Bombyx mori: one gene and its partners. The protein of the gene in region 3 interacts with the protein of the main gene of each other region in a pairwise test. Links are inferred from orthologs where the notes say so. Each region holds a gene or a part of one and is shown on either strand. Other genes may lie near its edges. The genes, in order: mucin-2, potassium voltage-gated channel protein Shaker, disks large 1 tumor suppressor protein and vang-like protein 1.

Region 1 (4,196 bases), on a different chromosome or scaffold from region 3:
GATATGGGTATAAAGTGGTCCAGCCGTACTAATAAGAACAAATTAAAAACTGCTGGGTTTTTCCGTTTCTACGTCAGAACCAGCGATTCGTGTAATGTAATCAAGTACCAAATAGCGAAAATTAAATCTATATATATAAAAATGAATTGCTGTTCGTTAGTCTCGCTAAAACTCGAGAACGGCTGGACCGATTTGGCTAATTTTGGTCTTGAATTATTTGTGGAAGTCCAGAGAAGGTTTAAAAGGTAGATAAATATGAAAATACTCGGAATTAAATAAAAAAAATACAATTTTGTTTTTCCTTTTAAGTGTGCTCCGTCGGACGGATTCCTTTTGTTTAAGTTTATTTTATACAAAAGTTTAGGTCTTTTATTTATCGGTTGAGGCACTACGAAGGCTGCCGGGTCAGCTAGTAAGTGAATATAACTAGAATTACAGAACGTTCAAGAATGTTCATAGCGAGTGGGTTTATGAATAGCGTGTGTTCTGTAAATAAAAATAAAAAAAAACGAATCGCAGTATTCAAGTGTTAAATACTTGAGCGGTCGGAATCACAAGCCGGCGCTTGATCACTGGATGGTTCGAAATTATCTCGAAACGTTTTTATGGTTCGCATTGGAATCCGGGAGGTGTTTTTTTTTTTCTATCACGGGCCGTTCGAACTCCAAAACAGGTTTTAGATAGAGCTCGGTAATGCATTACAATGCGTCATGCGTTTTTTGTAAGAGCGGCAGATTCAACTTCTCTGAGGTACATAGTAATGGAATGATAATAAGTTGTAATTCAAGGTTTATTTAAAAAAAAAATAGATTGGTAGACAAGTGGTCGTCAGAGTCCAGGCGCGAATCATAAATGAAAGATGCATGAAAAATGAGATCTAAGTTTCGAATTTAGTAATTTTCCTCCCTTAAACTTGCGCTCAGAATGAAACTGGATCTTGGTACCGACCTGAGCAGACACAATAAATTCTACCAATTATTTACAATAAAGAGTTCCGTTTCATTTCTATTTCGAAAAGCCGCCGTAAAATTGTTGTAAGACTTTTCGAGAATATTCTAACTTTAATCTATACAATATTTTACGTTATACCAATTTGTAACTGTATAACATTATTTTATACTTTTATATATATTTAATTATTAAATACTCGTGGAATAATGTGGATGCTTTTGTTTGTTTACTAATGCAATCACATAGAATGCATTCTTATTTTAAATTCTGAATCCTAATAATAATAACATCACGACTTCAGGATACAATCTCTTTACAAAACATATTATGTCAAATGCAGAAATAAACATAATTTCTTTCTAAAATTATAATTATTATGATTTACCTACGTCCTTGAAGTTAGTTACCTGTTATTATATCGTAATTCGCATCGTACTAGATTCTTGATCTAATTCGATATAACAATGATTAATGTGTTATTGGCAATGGTTATCTCAGAGCGAATAAATTTGCCTAACTTTATTCAGAGAACCGGCAATCAGGTTTATGTCTTCATTAAACGAGACCTTTTTGGGTTATCAGTAATATTCCAAATTTTGGATATAAACCTAAATATTTTAAGATACGTACTTTGATACGTACTTTACTTATTTTGATGTTTGTTCTGGTATATAATACCTACTAATTGTAGGAAGAACTATTCAAGAGTTTTTCTAGTAATAGATGGGGGAAGCAGCTACCAGATATAAGTTAATGGTAACCAGTGATGGTTGATATTAACTATCTATAATTATCACCTTAATACTGTATTAATACCTTATTATTAATGACGGAAAAAATTGATGGAGCTCTTGAAAATATTTGGTACATTCAAGAGTTTTTATAAGCTTCTAGTAGTAGATGAGGGAAGCAGCTGCCAGACATTGTTAATGGTAACCGGTGATGGTTGATATTAACTAGGTATCTATCATTATCACCATAATACCTTATTATTAATGACGGAAACATTTGATGGATCTCTTGAAAATATTTGGTACAATGTCGTAGTTTAAGTCTGTTTGGCTACTTACGATTGTCGCTGTCCACTTCATACCAGTTGGGATTTAAGCTCGTCTGCCCACCTACTATTGTAATAGTAATTTGCCGCCTTTCTAAGCGGAATATATGTGATGTCGTAAGAAACTGGTGATTTACGCTGATGGCTGATTTAAATTCGACTCAAGATTGTAATACGTAAGGTTTAGTACTTACGGACTGGCACTTTCTTCGGGTCAAAGTTAATGACCACTTCGTTGATTTTTTCGATCTTCGTCTGTGCCGCCTTAGACCGTATTGTTATCTCTTGCAGCTGCTCTGTTAGCTCGCTGAATATATCCTCGGCAAGAAGCACGAGCGAGGCGAGCTGTCTGAGCGCATTCGTCAAAGTGCAGTTAGTTACAGCTTGTAATTCTTCATCGGCAATTTTTGGCTTTCCATTTTCGTCTCGCAAACTTGTCCGTGACAAATACTTAGGTTCGACCGCACGTGGCACGAAAGGCATCTCGATATTAGTTCCGAAATATTCATTCACCCATTCCCGCACTGCGAATTAAATGTAATTCCCACATCCATTCAACACATTATCACAAAAAACGTCAGGTAACCGCCACTTTGAATTAACCGACATCCTGACCGGTGAACTTTCACTAAAACCCTTGTTTTTGCTAAGACATGCAGTTCAGGTTACGTATTAGTTGATGAGAAAATATTTTAACTCAGATAATAAGTTCAGAAAAGTTTCAAAGAAACTTCTTGTTTACGAAATCCCGCCATTATCATAGCAACACGCACCACACTCCCTACTCAATGCTGTCTGCAGAATGAATGGAATCGAATGGAACAAAATGTTCACAACGAATTGTGATACCAGCACTAAGAATAGCATATATAGCGAAACTTCCAATGATTTTTATCAGCTGTAGTCTTACCCAATTTAATCTAAATTATGATATTAGATTACAATTAATCAACCCATCTGAACTGGTTTTGAGTGGTTACCGAAACCCACAGACACCACTATATGAAAACTACCGTTTACTATGAGACATGAGGTCAGAAGTCTTATTTGTTTTACAAAAAAGTTATATACAGAGCTTACACATTAAAATTCTAACGAGTTTAGGATAACGGCTTCGCGGCAAAACTAGACTTTTTATTCCTTATACAGCTTTATTATATCTATATGACCTATCACTAGTAACTTGGTTGATAGACAGGGCGTATTGCAACCTTTATTGATAATAAAAATGGATAACGAGCTATCTGGATCTAGGCAGAATACAACGTTCATTTAATAAACGAAATGCAATTTTATTCATTTCAAACTTCGTGGACCTGCAACAGGGATGAAATAAAATCCTGCGTTCAACCTGGTTTCGAGAACGATTGTAATAAACGGGATAAAATAAAGATCGAAATATATTATGTTAAATTTACACTTTTATGCCAATTGGTTTTTCGTTGGTTTTTATTCAAAGTATTAACGATTTGTAGAACCAATTTTCGGATTAGTTTACTTGGAAAAACTGTAATAAAGAGAAGCAAACTAGCTTCCCTTGTCCGTTGTTCTTCATGTCTTTTTTGTAGTTAAATTAATTTAAATTATATTATTTTTCGTAAATTCGACAATAGTTAAAATTAACCATGTTTTAAATATTTCTTTTTTAACATAGCAACATTATTTATTTTTATAAAATTTAATTTAGCGCCATCTAGGAAGACATAGGTGTACTCTAATGCGAAAGTGGCAAACTCATACTTTTTGACCTACCGCTTTAAATTGTTCGTTTGCGGCTCACGAGATGGCACGGGATTTTTATTTCCTGTTTTTCTTCGTGATATTAGATCATAGATGCCGCTGTTTTGCATTTTTAAAAACCATTTTCAATTCCATACTCTAAACTCTAAAGATTCTATCAAGCTTGAAAATGTTTACAAAAATAAAAAATGGACGCCTTGTCGTTTTTGATTTAATTGTAGTGCATCGAGCACATTGGTAATATGAGTATATATTGTAAAAATAAGTACAATTTAGTCTATTCCCAAATTGTACCATAATTATGTAGTCCTGATTTTTTTTCCTCCCTATGCTGATAGCCTTGAGATGCTATTTCAGCTTCTCCTTGACATGTAGGTGAGCTCACGGGGCTCAAACCGGGTGTGATGCTAACACTGACCCTAGCAAGAGCAGTGCTTCGCAGAATCTA
Region 2 (3,570 bases), on a different chromosome or scaffold from region 3:
TTACGTTGTAGATATCTATGGGCTCCAGTAACCACTCGACACCAGGTGGGCTATGAGTTCGTCCACCCATCTAAGCAATATATAAAAAAAATGAAAATTTCAAAATCAGAAACCTAAGATCCGTTGGAGAACCGGTTTCTCAGTTGCAGTGAGGTAGAATTGATCACTACAACATAGTGAATTTAGGGCTGCTTTTATATCAAGATTTCTTAGATGTTATTTACCTTACAATTACCATCAAATCAATTTGCTTTGCTTAGATGGGTAGACGAGCTCACTGCCCACCCGATGTTAAATGTTTACCGGAGCCCATAGACATCTACAATGAAAATACCGCCACATAGTTTGCGATATAAGTTCTAAGGTCTCAGTATAGTTATAAGGGCTGCCTCATCCTTCAAACCGAAACGCATTCTGCTTCACGGCATACAAATACACAGGATGGTGGTACCTACTCGTGCGAACCTACCAGAGGTCCTATCACCAGTAAAGTGAGTTTTAAGGTCTCACTTTTAACAGTACAATTACAATTTTAACAGTACAGCTTAATTAATTTAAATAAAATAAGCTAATAATAAATAAATGGTACAGGAACGAGTACTTCTTCGACCGGAACCGACCGTCTTTCGACGCCATCCTCTACTATTACCAAAGCGGAGGACGACTCCGTCGCCCGGTAAACGTCCCCTTGGACGTCTTTTCTGAAGAGATCAAGTTCTACGAACTGGGAGAGCAGGCCACCAACAAGTTCCGGTAAGATGATTTAGTTAAATTAGAAAATTATACAAAATTAAAGTTTCAAAATACATACTTACTTATTCGTATAAGGAAGGTCGGTGAGTGGATAAAGATAATCGTTATCTTACAGTGAGGATGAAGGTTTCATCAAGGAGGAAGAGAAGCCCCTTCCCTCCAACGAACGCCAGCGCAAAATCTGGCTGCTCTTCGAATACCCCGAGAGCTCCCAGGCCGCGCGCGTCGTTGCCATCATCTCGGTCTTCGTCATCCTCCTCTCCATCGTCATCTTCTGCCTGGAGACCCTTCCTGAATTCAAACACTACAAAGTCTTCAATACAACGACCAACGGCACGAAGATTGAGGAGGACGAGGTCCCGGATATCACCGATCCATTCTTCCTTATTGAAACACTCTGCATCATCTGGTTCACCTTCGAATTGATCGTGCGGTTCTTGGCGTGTCCCAACAAATTCAACTTCTTCAGAGACGTCATGAACATCATTGATATAATCGCCATTATCCCGTACTTCATCACCCTGGCGACCGTCGTTGCCGAGGAGGAAGACACTTTGAACCTACCGCGAGCTCCCGTATCTCCGCAAGATAAGTCCACCAACCAAGCCATGAGCCTGGCTATTCTGCGGGTAATCCGTCTCGTGCGGGTGTTCCGGATCTTCAAACTGTCCCGCCACTCGAAGGGATTGCAGATTCTTGGCAGGACGCTCAAGGCGTCCATGCGAGAACTTGGCCTGCTGATCTTCTTCCTGTTCATCGGTAAGGCACGAAATAGAATAGACACCGTACCAGTCATGTTCATACATTTTTAAATTACTCGAAACTTACCCCAAGTTTTTTAAGGATCCTTTTTGTGCAGACGTCAAGACGACATCAAGAATCACCCAAATCTAATAACGAAATTGATAATTTAAAAAATTCAACAAACTAAAAAATATTTCAAGATTTCAGTTTGTAAGACATAAAAAAAACTTGAAAGAAATCTCTCGAAGAGCGATTTATTATTAAAATACTAGTAGCACATATTATATTAACCCTATACTCTAAATTTTGCAATTCTGAATTTTATACTAGAGAAATTATGTCGACTATAAAAAAATATACACATGATTGATTACGTGTCATAATTTCGGCTTTAATCTTTTACTTTCTTTGCCTAATACTAAATCAGATGCAGACAAAAAATAAAATAGGGCGTGGGGTAAATAAATAGGGTACTTAGTAAATACTATATTACAGGATTTTGCAAGACTCGATGGGGTAGAGTAATAGTAAATATAGCGACTCGAAGTAGTCAGTTTTTTTAGTTAATAAGCTAATGTATATGATAACTCATATACATATTATGTATATGGGGACGGGCCTCATTAACATGATAATGACCTGAAAAACCTTATATGAGGTATTTTAGTGCGAAATTCGTTCCGAATTTATATAGACGCATTTTAATGAAACTAATTTAAAAGCTTAAAAGTCAAATTTAAATGACTCGATAGCCTTAGTATTAGCAAGGTTCGGTAGTCAGAAACCAAGGGTTAAATAAACATGGTTTTTTTTTTGTTTTTTTTTGTACATTACCATTTAATTTTTCTTCTAAAGCATATAATAAGAATGCAAAACACAAGAAGCTCGTGGAGTACTCGGTACAACGGATGGCATCGGAGAGCGCGCACGCACCGGGCCCAACCCACATAGTGCACATTCCGTCTTGTGTTCGCAGGGGTGGTCGTGTTCTCGAGTGCAGTTTTCTTTGCTGATAAAGAATGTGTAGAGACCAATTTTTCATCAATTCCCGATGCGTTCTGGTGGGCCGTTATAACGATGACCACCGTTGGCTATGGAGACATGAGGTAACCCCGTTGACTCAAGGCCCCGCCAGCTCGCAAGCGCTCCCCCTCACTGTATGTCGCACTGTATTCTCCGTTCGTGTGTGCTTGTTCTTAAAGGTGTGGTGCTGTTTTCGTCTGCGGTGTACTTCGCTGAAGCCGGAAGCGAGAACAGCTTCTTCAAATCCATACCTGATGCGTTTTGGTGGGCGGTCGTGACAATGACGACCGTAGGATACGGAGACATGACGTATGAAACAGCGACTACACCCTAAGTTTCATTTTTGCCTCTCGTCATTTCATTTTGTCCCACAACCTTATATTGGCATACTTAACACTATTGTTGATTTTCTTTCGCCACATCATGTAACTATACATTCGCTTCAGTTTGAGTTAATTGTCGGTTCGCTTAGAACTTAACCGATCACGTTAATTTATTTATTTCACTCTATACAAGTTAATGCACGTTCTGAGATTTTTCCTTACTGTCTCAATTGAATTTCGAATTTATTTATCTATATCATTATTCTCCACGTCGTCTGAACAAGTTTTACATGGAAGCGTATTTGTAAAATTCTCATCGGAATAATACAGTGAGCGCAGTTAGCGCAACAGATCTCGTCGCCGGTGTGACTATCGCCTCTTCCAAAGCGTATTTTAAGCCCGTATCCACTTAACCTAACCGCTTTCGTTGCGAGCACTTCACCTCTGAGAAAGTCTGGCTGCTCCCAACCTGCGCAGCTTGAATCCGAAGCGGCATCTATATACCACCACCACCACCACCGATGTTCGCTCCACAATAACGCTTACGCTATATTGTCAATGTATCCTAAATGTTTGAATGTATGCATCGATGTTGTGGCGCCTACACTGATCGACATAAGCTCATCGAAAATGGTGGCAAGAGCCGGCCGCACTGTTGTCATCATCGCATTTGTACTGTAGTGGATCTCATCGTGTTATTGTAACGCTTGTGATCACTTAGTAATCT
Region 3 (3,570 bases):
ACCGCAACATACCTGCTATATTTTTATATTTTCCAAAATTTCTGTAAATTAAATGGTTGTCTGGAAGAGATCGCTTTTAGCGATAAGACCGCCTATTGTACAAATGTATCTGCTTTTTGACTGTTTTTTGAATGTGAATTGTGTTTGGTGTGCAATAAAGTGTATTCTCTCTCTCTTTATATTACTCACGAGGCACGCAGCTTCCAAACTTGTCAGGGAACTCGGAAATGAGGTCGTCGTTTATTCTATCTTTCAATGGGCCCAATATTATCACGGGCCGAGTGTACGCGATCGTCAATTGCTGAACTGTTTCGTAAGACAACACCGTCTCGTCTTGACCTGTAAACATTCACGCGCAGTACACATCAGTTTTAATCACATTTAACGTGTAATCATTACGTGGTATCACTAAAGTAGTCATTACGTGGCATCACTAAACTGTTCCCTTGAAACCAACCAGGAATTATTTGTAGATTTCAATTTCGTGCTACCCGTGTTGTATGTAGCAAATCCGTGCCATACCCGTGCCATACAAATTTATATATATTTTTTTTCTACATCAAAAACCATTTCAAATGATTATGGTTATTCACAGAGATCAGCGTATCACAGCGATATTTGTTTGATATATATATATAATATAAATGTGTATTTATAGTTATGAAAATTATTCTATGATATAATTTCATCTATTCAATGGAAACTACCTAAATTATTAAATATTTCGTTTTACTGGTATCTAGTTCACAAGCATTCTCTAGACTAACTCGAATGGTTTCACTACAAACTTATTTCGTACAATATGTATTGTATTGAGAGAGAAAAAAAAACACTTCACGAAAAACCTTATTTGGCAAAGCAATAACTTTTGCTATTCATTTAGAAACTGATTTAAAATCATTTATAAGTACATGCTTTTTCGTAAAATCGTAAAACGTAATTTAGAACATTGTCATATTGAAGCCAGAAATATAAAAGAAGAAATATTTATGTAACAATTTTCTACGATACTTTAAGTTCGACAATTAAATCCATTCATCATTACAGTGGTCTGGCTTGAATACAAAAATCAATGTAATCAATGTAATTCAATAAAAAATAATTAAACACATTAAAAAGCAATGTAGTATGTCATATATCACAGCTGAAGACGAACATAAAGTAACATAAGGCTTTGAAAAAATTTACAGCGTCCCCTATTACGTTTTGAAGCGACAAAAAACTAAATCTATAAATAAACCAGCAGAGCGTATTTGACAAACTGTAAACAAAGCTCGCATGAGAATGTCGCGTCTCGCGTACCGTGACTCGTAACTAGTGAGCGACATGCGTGCGTGGAGTGAGCATGCGCGTGACGCGCCAAGCTAAGGTCTGTGTGCTTAGTGAGAGTTCTTTAACGCCCTCGATAGCGTAACAGTTAATTTGAATTTGTATGGAGTTGGAACGTTTGCCTACGTTTGCCGCTAGGGGCGCTGTTCCGAACTGCATACAAATTTGAGTTAACTTTACGCTATCGAGAACGTTAAAAAACTCGCACTAAGCACACTGTTCAATCGGAACGCACAACCGAACGTATTGTGTCGTGTCGGACTATATTCATTATGCGAAAGCGTCTTGTAATCGATTCCGTCATCGCATATCGTCTTTTCGCATTAAAAGTGTACAATTTCCAAAAATATTCGAAATTGAGTTAATATGCGGAATCATTTGGTATCACCAGTATTTTTCTCATAAATACTATCAAAAGAGCGTAGTTTAGTTTTAGTTTTTTTTTTTAGTTTACTTATGTATTGACTGCTATTAACAAAATTAATAAATAATTTTATCTTACTTTAAAAGACAGATAACTTAACTGGTAAAAAATAAGAAATAAATGTTGCAAAGATGATTAATATTAAAAATATCACATGTTACACCTTTAAAACACTCTCCTGTAAAATTAGTTAGTTTTGAGATTATACAGTTTTAATGCGAGAAGACGATAACGTCAGCGATGAGTGACGTTTTCGCACAATCGGGCGTCAGATACCGCACAACGCTGCGTTGTGCGTTCCGACGGACAAAGCTAAGCACGACGCGTGTAGCGTGTCCCCGTGTGCTTCCAGTGGCCCGCGCGCTGCCCGCTCACTCAGACCGAGCCTGCGCCCCCCTAACACCATTCTAATGATCCAAACAATCTCGTGAGCACGATGGTCAGAGTTTCGAGTGCGGAGAGGCTATTAGATATAATCGCGTTTTATGAAATCAAAAAAAGGTAAAACAACTGAACGAAAGAAATGTCAAATAAACAAAATAAAATTGGAGTGTTATTTGAATGAAAACTACATTTCTAATTGATGATCATAACCAGAATGCGGGAGGTAAGGTATCGGCTACTGCACTCGCAAGCTACGCCTCACTCCCAAAACTTACTCTCGTCCTCGAGATATATGAGCGTTATCTCCTCCATCATGGGAAGTTCCACTCGATACAAGATTTCTCCTATACGTACAAAAATTAATGTTACATATACTTCAAACATGTACGTACACCGTTTTACGGAGGGGGGGGGGGGGGGGGGGGGCGAACCGGAAGAAAAAAAATACTACGGAGCCACAGACTCGCTCTAATTGTCCGAAACATCTCGATTCGAAAATATATTTATACAGAATCGTGAATAGCGCCCAATAAAATAAATAGCAACTCAAAATACGTTTGTCGAATGAGTGATTGAAGTCGTGTCCGTATCGGTATCGGGTTAGGCAACTAGAAGCACGGGACTGAGGCCGGACGAGTCTCAAACCAACCCGCGTGCTCGCTGCGACCCGTTCGTAATGCCGACATTAACTACGTGTTCAACATCCATTATATTCACTGAGCTCTTCCCAAGCAAACCGTGTTCACACGAATTTTCGGAATCTGACACGATTTTTTTAACACAACCAATTAAAAATGGCATCATTACATATATTTTTTTAATTATTTCTTCGCTATAACTACAATATAAACATACCGAATTAAATGTTTATCAGTAGCTTGGGAATTCCGAAAACTTATTATTAACATCGGATACTTTCGAATGAATCAAAAGTACAAGACCGACCGCATGGGAAGAGCTCTTTGTAAAATACAAAAACTAACTAAAACACAGATAATTAATTAGCCGCCGGGCCGTTGTCAGAAAACAACGACAAGCGACAAAGTTACGGCGGGAAATGAAAAACATTGCCAAGATTTCTTTTTTTTTTTTTTTGTTAGGCGACACCATGCTCTTCCACGAATACTACAAAGCAACAGTTTACTCACACTTATCCGGTACGGTTTAAGAATACCGAGTATTGTAAATAGTACCTACACGCTGAATCGTTTCGATAAACCAAAAATAATAATAATTTTATTTAACATTAGCCATAATAATATAATTGTGAGTTGTACGAAGAGTTAAATGTAAATTAATTGAAATAAAATAAGAAAATACATTTGACTAAAACAGTTCGTCTTTTAAGACTCAATCGTTGTTAGGTAAAGCATAGCTTTAATGTAAAGACAACCCAACTTCAGACAGATTGGTTGTTAGCGGCCGCACGAAAT
Region 4 (4,317 bases), on a different chromosome or scaffold from region 3:
TTAGATCCATCGACATCATAAAATTTAATACTGGATTGTGCCTTTCTCTGACTCTTCGATATTGGTATCTTCTCCAGATATGGGTTATATATCGGAAACTCGGTATAATATCTCTGTAATACCCATACGGCAGCTCTTTGGATGCTTAATTGGCCTATTGCATATGATCTACTCTCTCCATCAGGACTTCTGACGATTTTAATATAATAATTCGGCTCTAAATGTCTTATTTCTATCAAGATTACTGCTACATAATGTATGAAAAGCAATGTATCTGCAAAACTCGATACATATGTAACAAGAGCTTTGTAATCTGTTGCATCTTCACCTAATGCTATTGCTTTAGTTGCCTCCGTTATCTGAACAATGTAGAAGAGCCAGTAAGAAAATGTGCATACTGCTATCATCACTAGAGTTACAGCTCGAAAAACAAATATTCTTGGTAAAATGGCATTCCGTGGCCTAAGGAATGCTGCCCATACTCCTATAGCTAATAATACAAGTTTAAATGCCAGTGACAAAAGAACACCTTTGCATTCCGCTGTGCAGGCTAGCAACTCCATTTGTTGACTGGGTTGCAAGATGTTATCACTCAGTCCCGGAAAGAAACCTATTTTTGGTAAAACTACCATTGTTAGTGGACTGATGAAGGCCACAAATGTCAATCCCAAAGCCAAAGTTGTCCCAAAGTATCTTGAGCAGACAAAACCTAATCCACCATCTGACTCCATAGCCCAATTACTGACATCTTCCATAGATTGAGAACCTTCAGATGTGTTGCCAGTTACAGCAGTTGTATTTTCTCCCCAGTTCTCATCTTGTGGGAGAATCTGAACTTCTATTACCTCCTGGCCATCTCTACCTGTTTCAGGGTTTATGTTGACACTTGTTTGAAATGGTGCCATTATGTTGTCACCGCTTTCTTTCCGTTGTGATTTTGTACTCCTAAAAAGATGAGCAATTTATTTCTATGCACATATTTGTGATATATTATGATTAATTCATATTTATTAACTTCAGTAATATTTAATGCATCGAAATGTCGGGATGCAATATATATTTTTAACAGAGATGGGCAACAAAGCTAACAGATTACTTGTTTGATATTTCCTCTTAGACAATGGAGCTTACAATGAAAATATAAGTACCTACTTTGAAACAAAGCTTCATACAGTGATTTAGTTTTTTTTATGATTTTTCAATAGTGGTTCCATCATTTGTTAATGGACCTCAGACAGTTTTAGTAAATATTAACACTAAATGACTACAATAAGTTTACAAATAGTAAGTTTTGTAAGATAATGTGTGTCTATTTGTATATTAGGAGATACCTAGTTTAGTTTTTGTTAAGTTTCTGTGATAAAATTAAATTGAAACTTTAATTTCAAAATTAATTTCTAAATAATGTAATGTCTACATGCTTATAGACTCATTGAAATTTAAACTTTTTTCTACCATGGTCGAGAGTGGTTACCATCGCTCATGGAGATCGGTAATAACAAGAATAGTCCATATATGGGTGACCATCAAGTTATCATCAATAACATTCACAATAATAGTGATTACAGTGAGAAGACATACAGCATAATTAAATTGTGTTGGAGTTTGGCATAATGGCAGGCAACACTTGTAACATGTGAAGTAAAAGTTTCCGAGTGTTGAAATGCTTATTTAAATGTTTAAAACAGATGATTGTCTTCTGTTCAGCCATGACTAGGACTTCTCATCTAGAGACAGACAGTGCAACATCTTAGGTTTTTATAAAAATAAAATATTATAATGGTGTGATAGTGTACAAAGTGTTTGTAATATATATTAATCATGAAGCAGAGTGTTTTTAAATAGCCCACCTTCAGAACCCCGTCCCCTCAAATTTGACCATCCAACAAATTGAATGACATAATTACAAACTCACCTGGTGCTTCGGTGCGTGTTGTGCCTATGTCTGGAGCTGCGCCGGGATCGGCTGCTCAACTCGGACCTCACCGATTCTGTCTCCATGTCTCAAACAGCAGTTTGTATTTCTCTACCTCATCCATTACTCATTATATATCTTAACTCGAAGACCCATTACAGACAAATTCCAGCTTATAATTAATAGGTTTTAACTTTAACACGGAACCGTGTCCACAAATATTTGTTTTTCAGTACATATTAAAATTCAAGCATTTTACATATTTTATTTATTAAATGAGGAATAGTGAACGTATTTAATAAATCCAACACTACAAAAACTATGTTTACATTGCAATGAATTTACTAAAATTAAAAAAAAACCTACAAAATTACTTTCTGTGTTCCAGTCAAAGAGATTTTTGCCGTTCGAAACTACGAAATTAAAAGAGTAGGTATAATATAGGTTAAATCGTGTTTGAAGTTGCGGTCGGGCTATTCCATGTTAACACTAATATTTTCTGACATCTATCTCTTTTATTCATAACCTCTGTAAGACTTTTAAACATAGCCGTATATTTTTTGTGGGTGCATTCGAAAACCAATATTTGCACTTAATTATAATTGAAATGTTTATTACTTTTTCTCTTCAAGTCAATAAATTTAATTTAGTTTAAATCAAATTTATCACATTTGCATGTAAAATTATTTATACCTTTCGATTTTTTAATAAGTACAGAGCCTTACTGATCAATTATATTTTTTATGAGCCTTAGGCATTTATTTTATTGTGATATTTTGGCACTGATTTCAAAAATGTAGCACAGGTGATTACGCAAAATGATAAATGATAAGATAACGAACCCATACCTTATAGATAACTCATTGACTACTCACTAGTTTGAACATGAAGTTTTTGTTTGTACACATTTAGAAAAATGGAAAATCCAACTCTTACCGACGCCAGACAGACCGACAGGGTCGAAAACCGGACAGAAGATTTACATCTGGACAGGGTTGTCGCTTCACAGCCAGAAATTGGACCAACGCCACCTGACGGTGGTTACGGTTGGTTGATAGTTGTATCTGCGGTGATTTACCACATAACAGTGCCTGCAGTGTTAACATTGTACGGATTAATCATATTGAAGGCGATCAGAGAAGAGGGCCATGAAAAAGAAGAATTGTTGAAAATATGGGACGTAGACATAGCCCTCGTACCAGTAATTATGGTTGTCATAAGGTTACTCTTGGAGTCATGGTGTCGAGCGATCGTGAAGATATTCAACATGCCGAGGTTCATGGCGCTTGCCGGCTTATGCCTGACGGTAGCCGGCATTCTGCTCTCTAGCTACTCCACTGATGCCACAACCAATGACCACATTGTGAATATATTCTCTGGCATATTCGCAGGTAAATAACAGATGCAAAATATTATATTCATGCTATATAGACAAATTAAAATAGATATAGAATTATGACAGATGAATTATCAATATAAATAATGATTGTTGCATATTACGAGATTTATAGGTCTGACGTAAATGTTATACGCTAGTAAAATAGCACTAGGTCAGTAAAGTCTAGTGTAAATAAGTCGGGACTCATTCATTTTAGTCGGAATTCGCATCATTGTTCTTAATAATAATTATAACACATCAGAAAAAACTCAACTGTTATTTGAAAACATACTACGAATCTTTTGTACGATTAATAGTCATATTTAAACAGGTGCGGAAAGCATTTGCGAGATCTACAAACGACTGTAAATTGTTATTCGTGTGCTTTCAGGTATCGGCTGCGCATTAACGGGTCAGCAAACAGAGGTCATCATAACACACTTCTTCAGGGAAAAACTGACCATGGCTCAGAGGATAGTCCGGATGGCTCCTTCAGTAGGAAATTGCTTGATACCAATACTAGTCGGCTATCTTTGCACGGTATACACTGGCGACATTGTAGTCATGATCTACGGTGCTATTGTGATGCAAAACTGTCTGTTTTTGGCCTCATACACTCGTCCTATTTACATCGAGAAAGTTATCCGACACACTTACAATATGCTAAGAGAGGCAGTTGAAGACGAAGATGAAGTTATATTTTCTAATCAAGCTCGTGTTTCGAATGAGAGGCAACAGTCAAGACAAACGAATAACAGTTCGATTAATAACGAGCCATTACCTAGCAATGCGCAAGAGGACGACGGTACAGATGTTGTTGTATTCAAATCAAATAAAAACGCTAAAGAAATCATCGATCCTGTCATCCAACATAGAGAAAATATTAATCAAGCACGATTTTCTTCAGATTTCACTAGCGTGGTTGAAGGTGGCAATACGAATCGATTCTCTTCCGACTTTGGAAACTCGAACAGGTTCTCAAGTAACTTTGGATCACTAGAGATAGGTGATTACGAAAGAGTAA

What was found.
Region 1: the proteins of disks large 1 tumor suppressor protein (region 3) and mucin-2 interact in a two-hybrid assay, tested with the Drosophila melanogaster proteins (4 studies listed by BioGRID). The link is inferred for Bombyx mori from reciprocal best matches to the Drosophila melanogaster genes dlg1 and gukh.
Region 2: the proteins of disks large 1 tumor suppressor protein (region 3) and potassium voltage-gated channel protein Shaker interact in binary tests that used the Drosophila melanogaster proteins (3 or more experiments, as listed by UniProt). The link is inferred for Bombyx mori from reciprocal best matches to the Drosophila melanogaster genes dlg1 and Sh.
Region 4: the proteins of disks large 1 tumor suppressor protein (region 3) and vang-like protein 1 interact in a two-hybrid assay, tested with the Drosophila melanogaster proteins (3 studies listed by BioGRID). The link is inferred for Bombyx mori from reciprocal best matches to the Drosophila melanogaster genes dlg1 and Vang.

The regions. Positions count from the first base shown.
Region 1 is NC_085115.1:5,308,168-5,312,363, reverse strand, and holds the start of mucin-2, read right to left. Parts: upstream 2,821-4,196; 5' UTR 2,492-2,820; coding exon 2,203-2,491; intron 1-2,202.
Region 2 is NC_085107.1:19,179,463-19,183,032, forward strand, and holds part of potassium voltage-gated channel protein Shaker, read left to right. Parts: intron 1-591; coding exon 592-753; intron 754-868; coding exon 869-1,512; intron 1,513-2,473; coding exon of another isoform or gene 2,474-2,603; intron 2,604-2,699; coding exon 2,700-2,829; intron 2,830-3,570.
Region 3 is NC_085118.1:7,810,980-7,814,549, forward strand, and holds part of disks large 1 tumor suppressor protein, read right to left. Parts: intron 2,482-3,570; coding exon 2,413-2,481; intron 340-2,412; coding exon 190-339; intron 1-189. UniProt on the Drosophila melanogaster protein: During embryonic development, some isoforms are essential for proper neuronal differentiation and organization. Required for cell polarity; maintenance of apicobasal polarity.
Region 4 is NC_085129.1:14,699,885-14,704,201, forward strand, and holds the start of vang-like protein 1, read right to left. Parts: upstream 2,804-4,317; 5' UTR 2,002-2,803; coding exon 1,916-2,001; intron 946-1,915; coding exon 1-945. Other genes in the region: uncharacterized protein LOC101743234, read left to right, coding at 2,832-3,306, 3,685-4,317.